Caenorhabditis elegans: one gene and its partner. The protein of the gene in region 2 interacts with the protein of the main gene of each other region in a pairwise test. Each region holds a gene or a part of one and is shown on either strand. Other genes may lie near its edges.

The links.
Region 1: the proteins of F11C1.1 (region 2) and F45D3.2 interact in a two-hybrid assay, tested with the Caenorhabditis elegans proteins (one large-scale study listed by BioGRID).

What each region holds. Positions count from the first base shown.
Region 1 is NC_003283.11:12,537,810-12,544,534, reverse strand, and holds F45D3.2 (Homeobox domain-containing protein), read right to left. Parts: upstream 3,497-6,725; 5' UTR 3,458-3,496; coding exon 3,368-3,457; intron 3,316-3,367; coding exon 2,745-3,315; intron 2,692-2,744; coding exon 2,555-2,691; coding exon of another isoform or gene 2,547-2,554; intron 2,260-2,546; coding exon 2,068-2,259; 3' UTR 1,558-2,067; downstream 1-1,557.
Region 2 is NC_003284.9:12,985,260-12,992,981, reverse strand, and holds F11C1.1 (CHCH domain-containing protein), read left to right. Parts: upstream 1-2,402; 5' UTR 2,403-2,627; coding exon of another isoform or gene 2,628-2,746; 5' UTR 2,747-2,757; intron 2,758-3,067; coding exon of another isoform or gene 3,068-3,143; intron 3,144-3,189; coding exon of another isoform or gene 3,190-3,267; intron 3,268-3,314; coding exon of another isoform or gene 3,315-3,386; intron 3,387-3,428; coding exon of another isoform or gene 3,429-3,488; exon of another isoform or gene 3,489-3,638; intron 3,639-3,773; coding exon 3,774-3,809; intron 3,810-3,854; coding exon 3,855-3,963; intron 3,964-4,295; coding exon 4,296-4,380; intron 4,381-4,435; coding exon 4,436-4,548; intron 4,549-5,380; coding exon 5,381-5,418; 3' UTR 5,419-5,650; downstream 5,651-7,722. Other genes in the region: vwa-8 (VWFA domain-containing protein), read right to left, coding at 1-91, 171-656, 704-814, 1,146-1,375, 1,423-1,483; F11C1.7 (Mitochondrial fission factor), read right to left, coding at 1,866-1,928, 2,682-2,746, 3,068-3,143, 3,190-3,267, 3,315-3,386, 3,429-3,488; mff-1 (Mitochondrial fission factor), read left to right, coding at 5,779-5,847, 5,993-6,112, 6,262-6,345, 6,392-6,467, 6,785-6,912; scav-4 (SCAVenger receptor (CD36 family) related), read right to left, coding at 7,228-7,492, 7,641-7,714.

The DNA of each region.
Region 1 (6,725 bases), on a different chromosome or scaffold from region 2:
AGTACAAGGAATATGGTAGTTTTGGAGGAGAAACATTCTAAGTGCAGAGATGATGCTCCGATTCAAGAGCAATTGTACGCAATCTGCAAAACTAAGTCTTGTGGTGTATCAATTTGCAGCAATTGGAAAACATTTGCAAAAAGAATAAGCATAATAGGAGAAACTTCATTTCATGCCGCCCAAGTAAAAAAAAGAAGTTTTGAGCCTTTAAAAATTTAGGTGGATTAGGCGGTTAGTCGAAATACATAATGTAGAATTTTTTTAAATTGCCAAATGTTTAAAAAGTGTGCGGTTTTTTCGCATGTTTGAATCTCTTCAATATTTGCCAAAAAATGTTTTAAACCTAATTAGATTTCCTAGAAATAATTTGCCTTCCAAAATTATGACTGGCAAAATTTAAATAATCAGCACTTTTGCCAAGTTTTTTGCAAGTTTTTTGCACTATATGAGTGGATTCCAACCATTTATTCATTTGTGTCACATCACATTTAAACGAACTGTGTGTTTTCCAAAATTTGATTTCAAGCTCTTATGCAAGTTCGAACAATTCAGATTTTTTTTACGGCAAGTATCGCATTTCATCTTCAAAAATTTCGCTTGGTGTATAAACTACTGATGTGCATCCAAGAAGATATTCTAGTTTATTTTGAACTTGAACTATATCTGAAATTGTTTTGAGGCACTTAAAGTTGCGGGGCACTAAAGTTGGCGGGAAAATTGTGTCGAATTGCACTCTACGGGTCGTGATTTTTAAAGTGTTCACGATTTTGTAAATATTTCATTACATCGATGATCTCCTTTTTACAAGTGTGCCAACAACATTCAATTGAAATTTAAAAAAAAAACACCGCGAAACGCCCGTGAAGATTTGCTGTATACCCCTGAAAAATATTTTTTGTGCAAAAATAAAATATTCCCGTTTTTATTTTAATGTCAAATTGGTCTCGAACCATTGGAACTTGAACCTTGTTATTCGGTAATCTTTTTTATTTGGGACACTTTTTTCAAAAACTAACACATTTTCCTATTTTAAATATTCAAAATAGCCTAAAATTGATTTACCAACTTATAAATTGTTGCTGTCTTATCACACTTCTATTTAAAATGCTGTTGAATCAAATTCAAACAGTAAAGTGCTTTTACCGGACACCCACGTTCTATTTTTGAGTTGTTTAGCTACTTATTTCATCAGGCACATTTTTGTTTGCTTAGGAATAACTGTACTTCATAAGTCATATTTCTGAAAAGCACTTGCAAACGTTGTAAGTTCACTGTAAATTTTGTTTATGCTTTGAACAACTACAGTCTTCATCTAAACTTCGAAGGTCATTCTCTGAAAATGTGACATTCTGCTGAAAGACTTCCGCATCCCCCATTGCCCTTTTTTATTTTCCTAAAAACTGGGTAACTGATCAATGAAAGTGCAAAACGGAAACTGGAAATGAGAGAAAAATGACGTGAACTTGTCGAAAACAACTCAAAAGTCTAAGCCACATGATTTAAAATAGTACGGTACTTGATGTGTTATTTTTTTCTGAAAACTACATTTGGATGAACTTATCAATTTGCAGAATGTTTATTCATATTTGTTTGTACAGATTGATTATTTTTAGAATTTAAACGTTTAATTTTTACAAAAAAATGTTAATCATTTGAAAGGCTGGGCAATGTTGTGAGAATTACATTGAGACGTTTGGAAATGAAGGTTTAAGCTTAAAACAGGAAATACAAAGTTGGAAAATATGAAACGGACATAAAATATTAAAGCATTGAAGTTTTGTTCAAAAACATTAAAATTAAATTTTCCTCTTTGACCATCCAAAAGAAACAGTTCTAGTCAAAGAGAAAAAAAAGAGAAGAGCAAAAAATGGAACGGGGAGACGAAAAATGCACACGCAACGGTTGATCCTTGAGACGTAATAGTGAGTAGTTTTTGAGAGCAAAATAGGGGCTATTTCAACGGGGAAAACTGTAACCTATCCATATTGAGTAAAATTGAACTTAGAGTAAAAGCTGGTTGAAAACGAAAAAGAAGTGGATAGGTATAAATAATGAGAGCTAAACGTTCTACTCTGCAGCTACAAGTTCCTGACGCACAGTTTCCTTGACCAAATCATCAAGTGAAAGGCCTTGTTGTTTTTGACAAAAAGCTTTTTTCTCCTCATCGGTTTTATCGTCGAGTTGAAAAGCTTCAATGCACATACATGCGACTGCCGCTTGGATTCCTTGAAGCATGACTAGTTGTGAACGGGGCTTCTGCTGAAAATAAAAAGAGTTTAAAAAATGTATTTCAAATTTCAAAGAGTGTGCAAATTGAAATTTTATTGAACAATTTAAACTTAATGACAGATCAAATAAAAATCAAATACTTTACTTTCACACCAGAGCTGCGTTTTTAAAATTAATTTTCTAAAACAAAAATTGGTTGTAAAATATGCAGTTCTGTCAAGCACGACAATATCATTAAAATGTGAAAAAAGTAGAAGAATAGAGAGAAGATTTCGATTTAAACTATTAAGAAAAGGAAGAATCGAAAAACTACTAACTTGTGTACCTGATACTTTGGGTAGTGGCGGAATGGCGAATCTGGTCCGACCTCGTCTGGAAGGTCTTCGTCTCGAATAAGACGGCGAAGTGGGCCACTTGCGCTGACTTCTGGCTCTAATTTTTGAAGGGGCATGGATTTGAGCACTGAAATTTAGAATTGTAAATTTAAATTTATAAAATTTGAATATACGACTTACATTCTTGAGTTTTTCTTCTAACAAGATCCTCTTCCTCTTTTGTTACTTGAATTGGTCGAACTTTATTTGGATGCACATCTGCATCATCATCTTCTACTAATGTTCGGAGCACAGATGTAGTTATAGAGCTTGATGAGGGAGACGAATTCGAGGAACATGTAATGGTACTTGTTGTAATTGGAAGTGATGGTTCCATCTTTCTTGTTCTCTTTCGTCGTTTCTCTTGATCTTTTCCGTGTTGCAAAGTGGCAGCGCTTGAAAATGCTCTTGGGCGTCCATCAGCTGCTAATCCAGCAGTAAATTGGTTAACTGGTGAGTTCATTGCAGCTTGAACATCTTTTTGTTGTTGATAAAGGGCTGAGTTGATAAGTCCCAATGATTCGATTGTTGAGTGTGGTGGAAGATTCAAGTATGGCAAAGTAGACAAAAGTGGGAATCCAGTGAACAGGCCAGGATAGGCACCTAGGGAAAGCATTGAAAGTGCTGTCATATCGTTGATTGGAGGAAAAATACATGAAGATGTAGAAGTAGATGCCGATAAATCACTGCTTGATGCAGATGATGGTTTGCTCTGAAATAATGAGATTTTGATTTATATTTTGCATATTTGATTTAAAACTTACAGTTACTGGGTTAAGAGTCAAATCATGTGGCAAGGCAGCAATAAGAGCCTGAAGCTCAGCGCTTCCAAGCTGGGAAGTCAGTTGGTCCATTTCTTATTCTTTTGAATGCAAGGGAAAAGAAGATATCCCTGAAAATATTCGAACGTTTTTCAAATGTCACTGTAATCGTTTAGGAATTAGAAAAATAGGAAAAGGAGGAACAGACTAGTGAATCAAAACGACAAATCGCAGTGTCGAAAACAAAAAGGACAAGGGAATCTGGAGGCAAAGTGCAGAATTTCGGCGGCGGCGGCGCCCGCAAGTGTACTGAAACTGGAGATTCATCTCTGAGCGAATGTGATCAAGTTTTGATGGAAAAATGTCGGAAGTCTAACAAAAAATTTCAGCTTCAGTCTCTGCCAAACAGGGAATTCGAGGGAAAAAGTGGTGAACCGGTGTCCTCAACAATACACAGACCACGCACACACACACACACGTCTATTCTATTCTATTTTGTCACTTTTCCTTCTATTTTTTCTTACTTTCCCTTCTAGCTTTGTCGTTGTTTTTTTCCCGGTTTACTCTCACTCTCCACACTCACATATGAAAAACAAGAAGTGCTTTAGAGACAGACAGGCGTGCGCAATTGGTTCCAAAAAGGATATGAAGGTGCCCTTCATGGTATATAAACGATGATGATCATGACAAAAACTGGAAACTGAAAAGGTGAAGTCAAGTGTACTTCAACTGAACTTTTTGCTTAAACTAATAATTTTCAAGATGCCAAAATGAGGATTTAAGGAAGATCGGATGCCAATTTTAGGGTTAGACGGATAAATGAGGGATTCGATGTCTTAAAAAACAATCAGTGACTCAAATGCACTTTTACAAAAATGAACTGATATGAATAGAACTTTGCGTGAAAGCGTAAAACGATTTGATAAGCTTCCTGACAACTGTGACCAAAAAAATGACAAGCCAAAACGTGAGTAGCATGGCAATGAGTGACTGACGTCCTGGCATCTCGACAGAAGGCTCCGCCCACTTACGCTCTCGGAAAGGAAAAAAAGATGAAGAAGGGGGTGGGTGGGGCATTGAGAATGCTAGGAAAAGTGCAAAAGAGGAGGAGAAGAAAGAAGATTATGGAAAGGACTAATAAGATGCGAGCAGCTGAAATTAATGATGTAAAACTAAAAACATTATTGGGCACAGGTTATGCATTGCTCAGATAGTTCATATTAAATTTATCTGCACTTGTTGGCAAATATACAAGAGATAGCAGCTGATTGATATTCTAACTATGGAATATGAAAATTTACTTGAGCACGAAATTGACGTAGTTCTCAGAATAACTGAAACAGACACATGTACCAGACACATGGACACACATCATGAACTTTTTGTTTTGTTTTTATTCTTCAATAACTGTTCTGATCGTGATCACTAAAAGTTCGCTTTTTTGCTATTCATTTCTATTATCTAACTCATTTCTTATCACAAAAAGGCATCATGAAGACGGAAGATAAAAATGTGATTGAGACCAGATCAGATTAGAGAAGCAATAACAAAATAGCAAAAAGTACAAATTGACCACGTCAAGATCTCACATGCAGGTGTTATGTGTTATGTTACATTATGAAGAAAAAATGAGTCAGTATCTATCAGAAAATCTGACTAAGATTAAGCTTGAATAAGGAAGAAAAAGGAAAGGAAAAGGAATGGAGAAGTATGAGAGGTCGACCTTTCAGTCTGGGGATGCCTAGGAGGCCTGGCGCTGCGGGGAAGTGCGAAATAACAAAAGGGCATGTAGAGTATGATGGAGAGATAGACGACACACACATTTTCTCTCCACGCTCAGAAGAAAAAGACGGAAAAAGAAGGACCCGTTACACAAATTGATGTACCCTCTATCTCTTCCTTGGTGGAGACTGGGAACCAAAGTCGATGTGAAAACCTCATGGGAATTTGGCTACTGTATTTGGAAAGAGAATTCTTGTGGTGACGTTAGTGATTGGGTCACAACTAACTAAAAACAAAGATCCAATAAAAACCTTGACATGTTATAAAAAGTTTAATGAAGAAGAGGAATAGAGATGGAAAGTGATTCAAGATTATCGAGAAAAATAAGATCTTTGGCAGTAGAGGCCAACTCTCGTCTTGACAAATTGATGGAGTACTTGCGATCAGAAGAAAGTTGAAAGTCTAACATGAATCATATAAGATTTCGAATAGTTTGCATTTGTGAATTAAAGTTTTGAATAGCGAAAACAATTTGAATAATTTTTTAATTAAATGTTTAGTATGTTTAATCGTCAGTTGTAAGTAAGTGACCATTTGGATTGGGATACTTGATGAATAAATATTTTTGGAGTATAAACAAAATCTTGTAATCTTTGGGAAGATTAGCGGAAACCTGTTGAGATGGTAGGTACACCATCTCACTACATATCGACATTAGTATCTGAATATCAAACCCTGTAGGTGAAAATGGTGGGGGCGGTACGACCGGGTCGCCCCGAAGGAGAAGGTGCCCCGCCCCATACGGTTTACACTGAGACGCAGGACAAGGTATAGAGGGAGGGCGATGGCGGAAAAGTACATGCAAACTTTCTATTGTGCCCTACTACTACATTTGCTTCACTTACCGACCATTGAATTAGGTTCATGAGTGAGCAATAAGATCTTAAGATTTCCAGAGAGTTCAAGAGCAACTTTTCATACCACAATAAATGACGTGGCCGCTTTTTTTTCAGATGGTGAATGAGAGTGAGAACCAGACAAAAACAACAAAATAATTTCAGAGAACACTACTGTGTGGCAAAGGGAAAAAAGAGAAACGGGTAGCCGTCGTGTGGGGTTTCTTGTTCTGCAGCTGAGCTAGTGCAAAAATGGTGCGATGGCGAAAACAACTTTGGTGACTCAGAGAACAGAAATATTCACGAATTTAAGCAGAGATCAAGATATTCAGCAGTTTCAGCAGTTTATTCTTCAAAGATTTCTAGACGATAACTTAAACAGGTGCATCAAACTTTGAGCAAAACTGTTTGAACCAACTTAGCATAAATTAATCTGGTTCTAATTTTAGAATTTAAAGCTAATAGTTTTAAAGCTTTGGGACAATTCTCTGGGGAAATAGGAAAATACGCTCTACTGAGGCGAAAATGAAGAGAACAAGTAAATAAAAGTGTAAGCAAATATTATGTGAGGAGTTTGAGTCGAGGTGACCAACCGGTGACGGCGATGGAAAAACCCGAGAAACGAAAAAAATGCACTTTTACTTCTGTATACTCAATAATGTTTTGTTGGCACTCGCAAGAGTACGGTAGGTTATTACAACTGACTCTGACATTTGACACCACCACGCCTAGAAAACAATTGT
Region 2 (7,722 bases):
TGATAAGATCTTTTTCACTGTCAGATAGAACTTCTTTGGCAGGATATGAGAAGTTGACAATTTCTCCTGCGGAATAGCTGGGATTCTCGTTCTGAAAATTGAAACGTCAATACAATTTTAGATCAATTTCAATACGCCTTTTATCACTTTCGAAAATAGTGTACACTTACCCAAATCTTCAATGTATTCTCTACGACAGCTGTGCCGATTCTTGGTCTTGAAGTTGACGCTTCCGAATTATAGGCATACACAACGGATATCAAATCGTTAAGATTTGTCTCACTAACGTTTGGAGCAATGAGCTTCGCTTGTTCCAAAAATGTGTGGAACGATAGCTCCTGAATATTTCTGCATTGGAATCTGCTTCGGAACGGCGGATCCAAAGAATTTCCCGGGAATCTTGGTACGGGAAGACCAAGGGCTATGACATGGAAGTTTTCAGAAACTCGCTCCATTCCCATCTTCTTCAGTGTCGCTTCATCGTATTTCACCTTCAGCTCATCGTATTTGTCATGCTTCATCAAAAATCTTCCATCGTCCAATTGCATTTCTCGATTTTCCAAAAGATTGTTCAGGATTGGAAGCACGTTTCGTTCGGCTCTTTCCACACCATCAATTACTAGCACTCTTCCTTTCAATGCTGCACGAACCGCACACTATGAATGAGAAATTGAAATCTCAAATTTTTAAAGAAAGTGCTTACCAAGTCTGTGTAATATGCAGTTCCATCTCTAATTTCACGTCGCTGTTTGATATCTGCTTCGGTGGTGTCTCTAGTGATTGGTAGGTACTCAAACTCTCGATTTGTAGCTTCCTTTAAAATTATTTTATTGAACACGGTGAAATTATTAGATTATTTTATACTAGTTTTTCACAAAAAATTTACCTTTAATAACTATAACTGGTACTTATTGGTTTCGTTCCACCCAAAATGTTTTAATTTTCTAAATAACAATTAACCACCTTTCATGTTAAAAGCGTGAACAAAAATAAGGAACGAAGCATTCATTTCTACAAATTGTTCCAAAAAGTTCACGTTTTTGTGGTTGATTGAAACTTAGAAAATTAAAACATTTTGGGGGAACGAAACCCATAAGTACCCTATATCTTTTTACTTTTATAATTTTATAGGAATAAAATCTTACCAAATATCTCAAGACAAGTTCCAATCTGATTTTTCCCGGCACTCCCAGCAGAAACACGTCTTGCTTTAATTTGTCTTTTTGAATGAGCCATCTCAAATGTGGGAGCAAATCCTGTGGGGGATTGTTTTTCTGCCCATAGAAGGCTGGGACAAAGTCTGGGTTCTTTGCATCTTGAAGTTGTACACTAACACTTCCGATAGTCAGCGTCGATGGTTTGGAGCTAGTAGATGCTGAATATTCACAATAAAAATTGTTTTGTTAAAACTTTCTTGGATACCTGTAGTTGTTAAAACCTTTCTTGCGTGCTGCAAGCGGAGAAGTGAAACCCGTGTGATCATGGGAGAAAACCTGTATTTTTTACCTGAAATACAACTACAATAATATTCAATTCTTAAAAAGTAAATACAAAAGTGAGTAATTAATATCAAAAAACACTTTAAATAAAAAACTTGAAATATTCAATTCAAATCATTTATCAAAACTCTCACAACGGGATTTGAGATTTTAAAGCGATGTAGTGTGGGGGGATCGAGATTCGTTAAAAATGTGAACTTATGCTTTATAAAAAGTTAAAGCGGTTGAAAAGTCTAGACGAGAGTCAAAATGTCGAGATTGAAGGTACAAAGGAGACTGTTCTATTCGTATCATTGTTATCATTTTGGACAGAAACATGACGTAGTGGGGGTAGAGAGAAAAAATGAATAAACTGATTGGTTATAATTACTTGCGAAGTAACGAGATGAGTGTGACGAGTGCGAGACCAGCCAAGCCTGCCCAGATGAACTGCAATAAGAAAATCGATAAAAATATGGGGCCCTCGAGGTGCACAGAGAGTGCACTAATCAAGAGGATTAGAAACACTGTGTGTTACGTACACGCAGGGTGATGTGCGTTCAGTGATGTGTGGTCTATGGACCGTTAACAAAGTACGCGTAGTGCTACAACGTAAGCTACACACAACTAGCAAATTCGCGAAAAGTGTGATGTGTATCAGAAATATGTCAGTTACTGCGGAGCAACGATTTTAATTTTTTCGAAAATATATTGTTCTTTTTGAAAGAAATAAATACAGTCAAAAATAAGTTGTTCTGAATAATCTTCAAAATCAAGACTGCAGAACTCGTAAATCGAAAGTTTGTAGGAAATTCTGTTCAAAATTATAACATTATTAGGCCGCCGCACAAGAAACACCTATATATGGTGCTGTGTAATGCAATTTTATATGAAGCTTTTTCACTACTGCCAAATTGATTATTCAGATTATCCAATGATTTGAAATATCCCGAGTTTTCAACAGTATTTTCGAAAGCTTCGCATTCACATTCCCATCCAAAAAGTTTTGCTATGCAGCAGTTAACTTTTATTAGTCAAGTTATCGTTTTCCCTCAAACATCGTCCTGATTGAAATCACATTGACTTCAAAACAACACATCATGGGAAAAACATCACACTTCCTAGCCATGTGTTTTTCTAAAACACTTTTCATTCCTGGTCATTTTGTCTCAAACATGCTGAACATTTACGTTGTGAACAAACCTGCTCGCGACGATCTCTTTTTGCATTGTCTTCAAGGAGCTTGTCGAGGGTGTGCGTGATGTCTCCTGAAATACAGGTTTGTTATTTTTAAGGTTTTTTCTTCAAAAATTTTCAATTGGTTTTATTAATGTTTTCATGAATAAAGTCAACAATAACGTTCAAAAAATGAACTACGACTTTTTGAGTAAATGATAAAAACCCATTCATATAATGCTACTGTAAAAATTGATAATTTGTTATTTACAGTCCAAAAATGGTGAAAACTGTGCCATTTTCTACATTAATAAATAATATTATGATATTTGGTCATTTTAACACTATTGGAAAGGTTTTTGATTATTTTTCCATTTGCCGTACTACAACTGTAAATAAATCTCACTACTGACTTAGTTGAGTTCTGACGGTTTTTATCTGACGAACAGGATCGGTTTCGCAGTGCGCTTCGACATCGCTGTGGAAGTGCTGAAATTTTTTAAATACTCGTCGCACATTATCAGTTTAAATTTACATCTGCAAATTTATCCATAATTGCCATATAATCCGCGGATTCGTATATGGATCCAACCGCTTCTTCGGGAATCTGGAACTAAAGCTTCTCAGTTTTTTTGGCTGGAATTTTGTCTCAAAACTAACAAAAAAGTGATCGTGTCCCGCTTCAATTTTCCTTTGATCATCTGTTGGATTTGTTGCAGGGTTTGAGAAGTTCTGAAAGTTTCACATTTTCCTGGCACCTTTTCTCATACAAACCTCCATTCCCGTCATAGACATTGCGTCTCCAGTGCCTGATATATGCTCCGGCATATACATATTTTGTCTGTACACGGGTTGCCACAAAGAATCGATAAAGCGAAGAGTGTTTTGTCTCCTCGCGCAACGTTGCTCCGCACTCCGTGTTTAGCCACTGTCTGTCGCCTCTGCTCTCTCGTCAGTCGATTTACGAACCTTGTTGTTGACGACGAAAAAGTGTAATTTTACTCATTTTAACTTGTTTTTGCGGAACGAAATTCAAGAGAAAAATAATACTTTCACCAAAGCATATTTTTTTCATTTAATTTCTTGAATCTTAAATTATTTAACAATAAAAAATTTTAGATGACAGAATCGATCAACTCCAAAAATTCCAATGATGTAAGTTATTTTCCAAGTCAATAATATTTTTTTTAAAAATTACAGAAGCAATATGTAATGGGAAAAGAGGAATTTTGGGATGATATCAAAGATTCGTATTTTCAAAAGTTAGCAAACACCAACCCGAATGATGTTTATCCAGATAATAATCCAGGTTTGCGTTAGCTTTGATAAAATAGTTTTTGGCTTTTGATATGAAACCTGGCTTTATATTTTGAAATAATTCACCATTTTTTCTATTTTATACTCAATTTTTGTTCCAAATAAGAAATGTAGCTTGACGCCGTAAAAAAAGAACGTAACAGAAATGAAACGAGTTGTTATTTTTGTTTCAAAATAATTAATGGAATGAAAATGTTAATAATTTTGATGCGATTCAATTGATAAAAATAATATTCCATTTTTCACAAAATAAATTTCCCCAATGCTCCTCTCAAGACTTTCAACCGCCTAACTACTTTGTGTAACTAAATTTAAACCTTACAGGACCAGAAAACCCCGATGGAACAGTTAACTTTGAATGTCACTGTGTTGGACATTTGGTGGCAAGCCCATGTGGCTACGAGTTCAGGTATTGTTTAACTGTTAACGTTCAAAGTTTGGAAAGACAGATGTTCACTTTTCAGAGAAGCAATTTCATGTCAGAAAACGTCAAGTGATGAGGAAATGGAAAATGGGGCGTGCGGTGAACAATTGATGGCGTTTATGGAGTGCGCGATGAGGACTCAATGTTTCAAGAGTGGGTTTTTAATGTTTTGCAAAAATTATGAAGATCAAACACTGCTGAGTTGTGCAAATTTTGCAAAATTAAATTCAATCAAGAGTTCAAGTTTAAACGGGAGAAAAATTTTGCAAATGAATAAGTGATGCGTGATGGGAATTCTAAAAAAATTGTGTTAATATAGAAGGGTACTTGTAGTGGTAGTTGTAGTCTAAAAAATGTGTGTTTCATAAATGAAAAGCTTAAATTTAGTAGATATCTTGAGATAGGAAACGATATTACCTCGGCTCAAGAAAATTTGCAACTCAATCAATTTTCACACGAGGACAAAAAAAGGAGTTTGGCAACAAAGAAATGAAAAATCTCTTTTGGGGTTCAGCTACTAAGAAACATAACCGACTAAACTTAAATGCCAAAGGGAGCTTGCTAAAAATAATATCAGCCTTCAGATTTCTTTTCTGGTTTGATTTCTAGTTCTGACTATAAGTTGTATTGTTTTTGACGTCACGCCTATTGTTAATTTAAAACGAAAATGTACGTATTTGTTCGTCATTTTATTTTCACTCGACATTAAATCAAATCAAATGTAGTATTGTTTTTGGAAATTTGATTACTGAATTGAACCAGAGCTTTACAATTGAATTTCGGGACCAATGATAACTTAGGGCCGCTTAATATGTTAAGAAACATGACTTTTTATAAAGTTTACTATAAAGTTTAAACAACAGCGAACAATTCAGTGAAGGCTGAATAATATTCATGACGCATGTTTTTTAATCACAGACTGATGGGCATGAATCCAATTATTTAATATATACTCTCGAAAAAAAAACTTGTTTAACAATTTCAGCCAACGACTCGAATGATGAGAAGTCAGCGGAAAAATGAACACATTGTGCCCATGGAAACCGACTCCTAGCAACATGTTGCTCTGATTTGAGTAATGCATTTTTTTGTATTAGGTTCTCTTTTAATAACGTCACTTTTTTGTTTTTATTTCTTTTGTTCTTTCGTTCTTATGATGTTTTTTTTTCTGATCATTGTGTTTTCTTTCTATTTCTTTTTCTCCCTCAAACTATCCGTAACACACGGGTTCATAGTAAACGATTTGTTCCTTTTATCTCTCGTTGTTTTATCACTACTTCGGTTCAAGGTCCGAATAACATTACTACCTTTTACAACGTACATATTGATTTTTCATCTTTTCTAATATATTTCACAAATTCGTTCAGATTTTTCAACTAGATGATGCAAGTACCGGACCACCTGTCAGTGACAGGTGCCGACCTTATGCAGATAGACCCGCTCAATAGATTGGTGAGTTTTTTTCTCCTTTGTTTGGGCGTGCTGACCTCAACTGGCTTGCGCAACCTTAGAAATTCTATACATTTTTGGTACATATGTACACAAAAAATGTTCCGTTACCCGTTTTCATATAATTTAGATTTCATATTTATTTCAGATGAACAAATTTGAAGAGGCCCGGACAGCAATGCTAGAAAGAATGAGCGTTCCAGAGCACATTACGGTAAATGGAAGAGCGACGCTGGTTCCAGAAGAAAGGAGAGTTTTTAGAACTACGGTGAGTATTTTGTTAATTGTAATGTCAAATATAAATATGAAAACGTAAAGATGCGGTTCTTTTTATTTTCACCACCTGTTTTTTGGTGATAAATTGTAATTAAAAAGTATTATGGGCTTCACAATTTACCAAACATGTTTTTATTTCAGTCACTCAGAATGGAAGTCCCCAATCATTTGAACGTGTTCGACTTAAAAGAGGATGCAATCAACCATAACAACAATCAGAAAATTGTAAAATTGCGTGAAAGTATCCAAGATATCAAGTTTTGAATTCCAGACGATTCCCACTTCATTTGACTCATCAAATGTGCAAAACCCGTACGAGGAAGTGAAAATGATGCAGAAAAGAATGAGTGAGTTCAGTTAAAATTTAAAGTGTTTAAAGTGAAGAAGCAAAATTTGACTTAATACTCTAAAAGTCTTACAACTCCAATTTTAAAATTTCAAAATTTTCCATAATTTGACGGCTGTTTTTGACGGACATTTTTAAGGTCTCCAGACTAAGCAAAAAAACCTTTCACAACTGTGCGGCGTCACATCAATTTCACTATAATTTGCTAGTAGAGAGTACATACAACGTCACACTTTTCAAAAATTAGTTATTGTTGATAAAAATTTAACAATGTATTTTTTGTACAAAAATAATGTTTTAAATTACCGATGTTTTCAGTTGTTCTCATGGGCCGGCTTGGAGTACTTGAAAACCAAATCGTCGTCCAAAAAAGACGTGAAAAAGGACTTCTCCTTGCATTAATAGGAGCTGTTATAACACTGGCATACTCATACCTCCGACGATAAGCTTGTTGTATAAAACTGTTAATCACAAATATCCGAGCCTTTCATATAATCACGAGTATTTTATTAGATTGTCACCATGTCCATATAGATTTGTACAACTGTTTTAATTATTATTTTTTAATACTTGTACTCAAACCCCTACACACATTTTGCTTTATTTGCATTTACGAATTTTGCCACAATCAGTTCAGAACACTCACCACGATTAGTTAGCTTTATTGTAAATATGATAATAGTGTGAATTATTTATGCGAGTTGAGAAATGAACTTTACAATTTTCAGTTTTGAAAACAATGCAAACGTTATTAATTTGAACTATTCGGCGACACTCCACGTAGGTTCTGTCCTATGTTGTTGCAAAACAAATGGTTTTGCATTCCTCTTTGATCTGAAATAACAGAATCCCCAAAGGAGGACTGCAATCAGGGACACTGCTGTGAAACCGATTCCGAGTCCCAGAACGATATTGGGAATCGTCACCGTATTGAAGTAAATGTAGTTGACAGCGTAGTCTTTCATAACTACACCGATGGTTAATGTGAAGGATGGCATTATCGCATTTGGAGCATTTGACATTAATCTGGAAAATTAATAAAATAAAATACGACATAGCAATAATAATTTGAATTATTGCATGGTTTTTTGTCTGATATTACTATAAAAGCAACGGCCTAAAGTTAAAAAAAATTCAATTTTTAATTCTAATTTAAGTTATGGAATTAACTCACGTCCAGGCTAATGACTGAAAGACTGGAATTGAAAGCATCATTCTAAATTCACCACCAATTGTACTTCCCGTTGCCTGCAAAA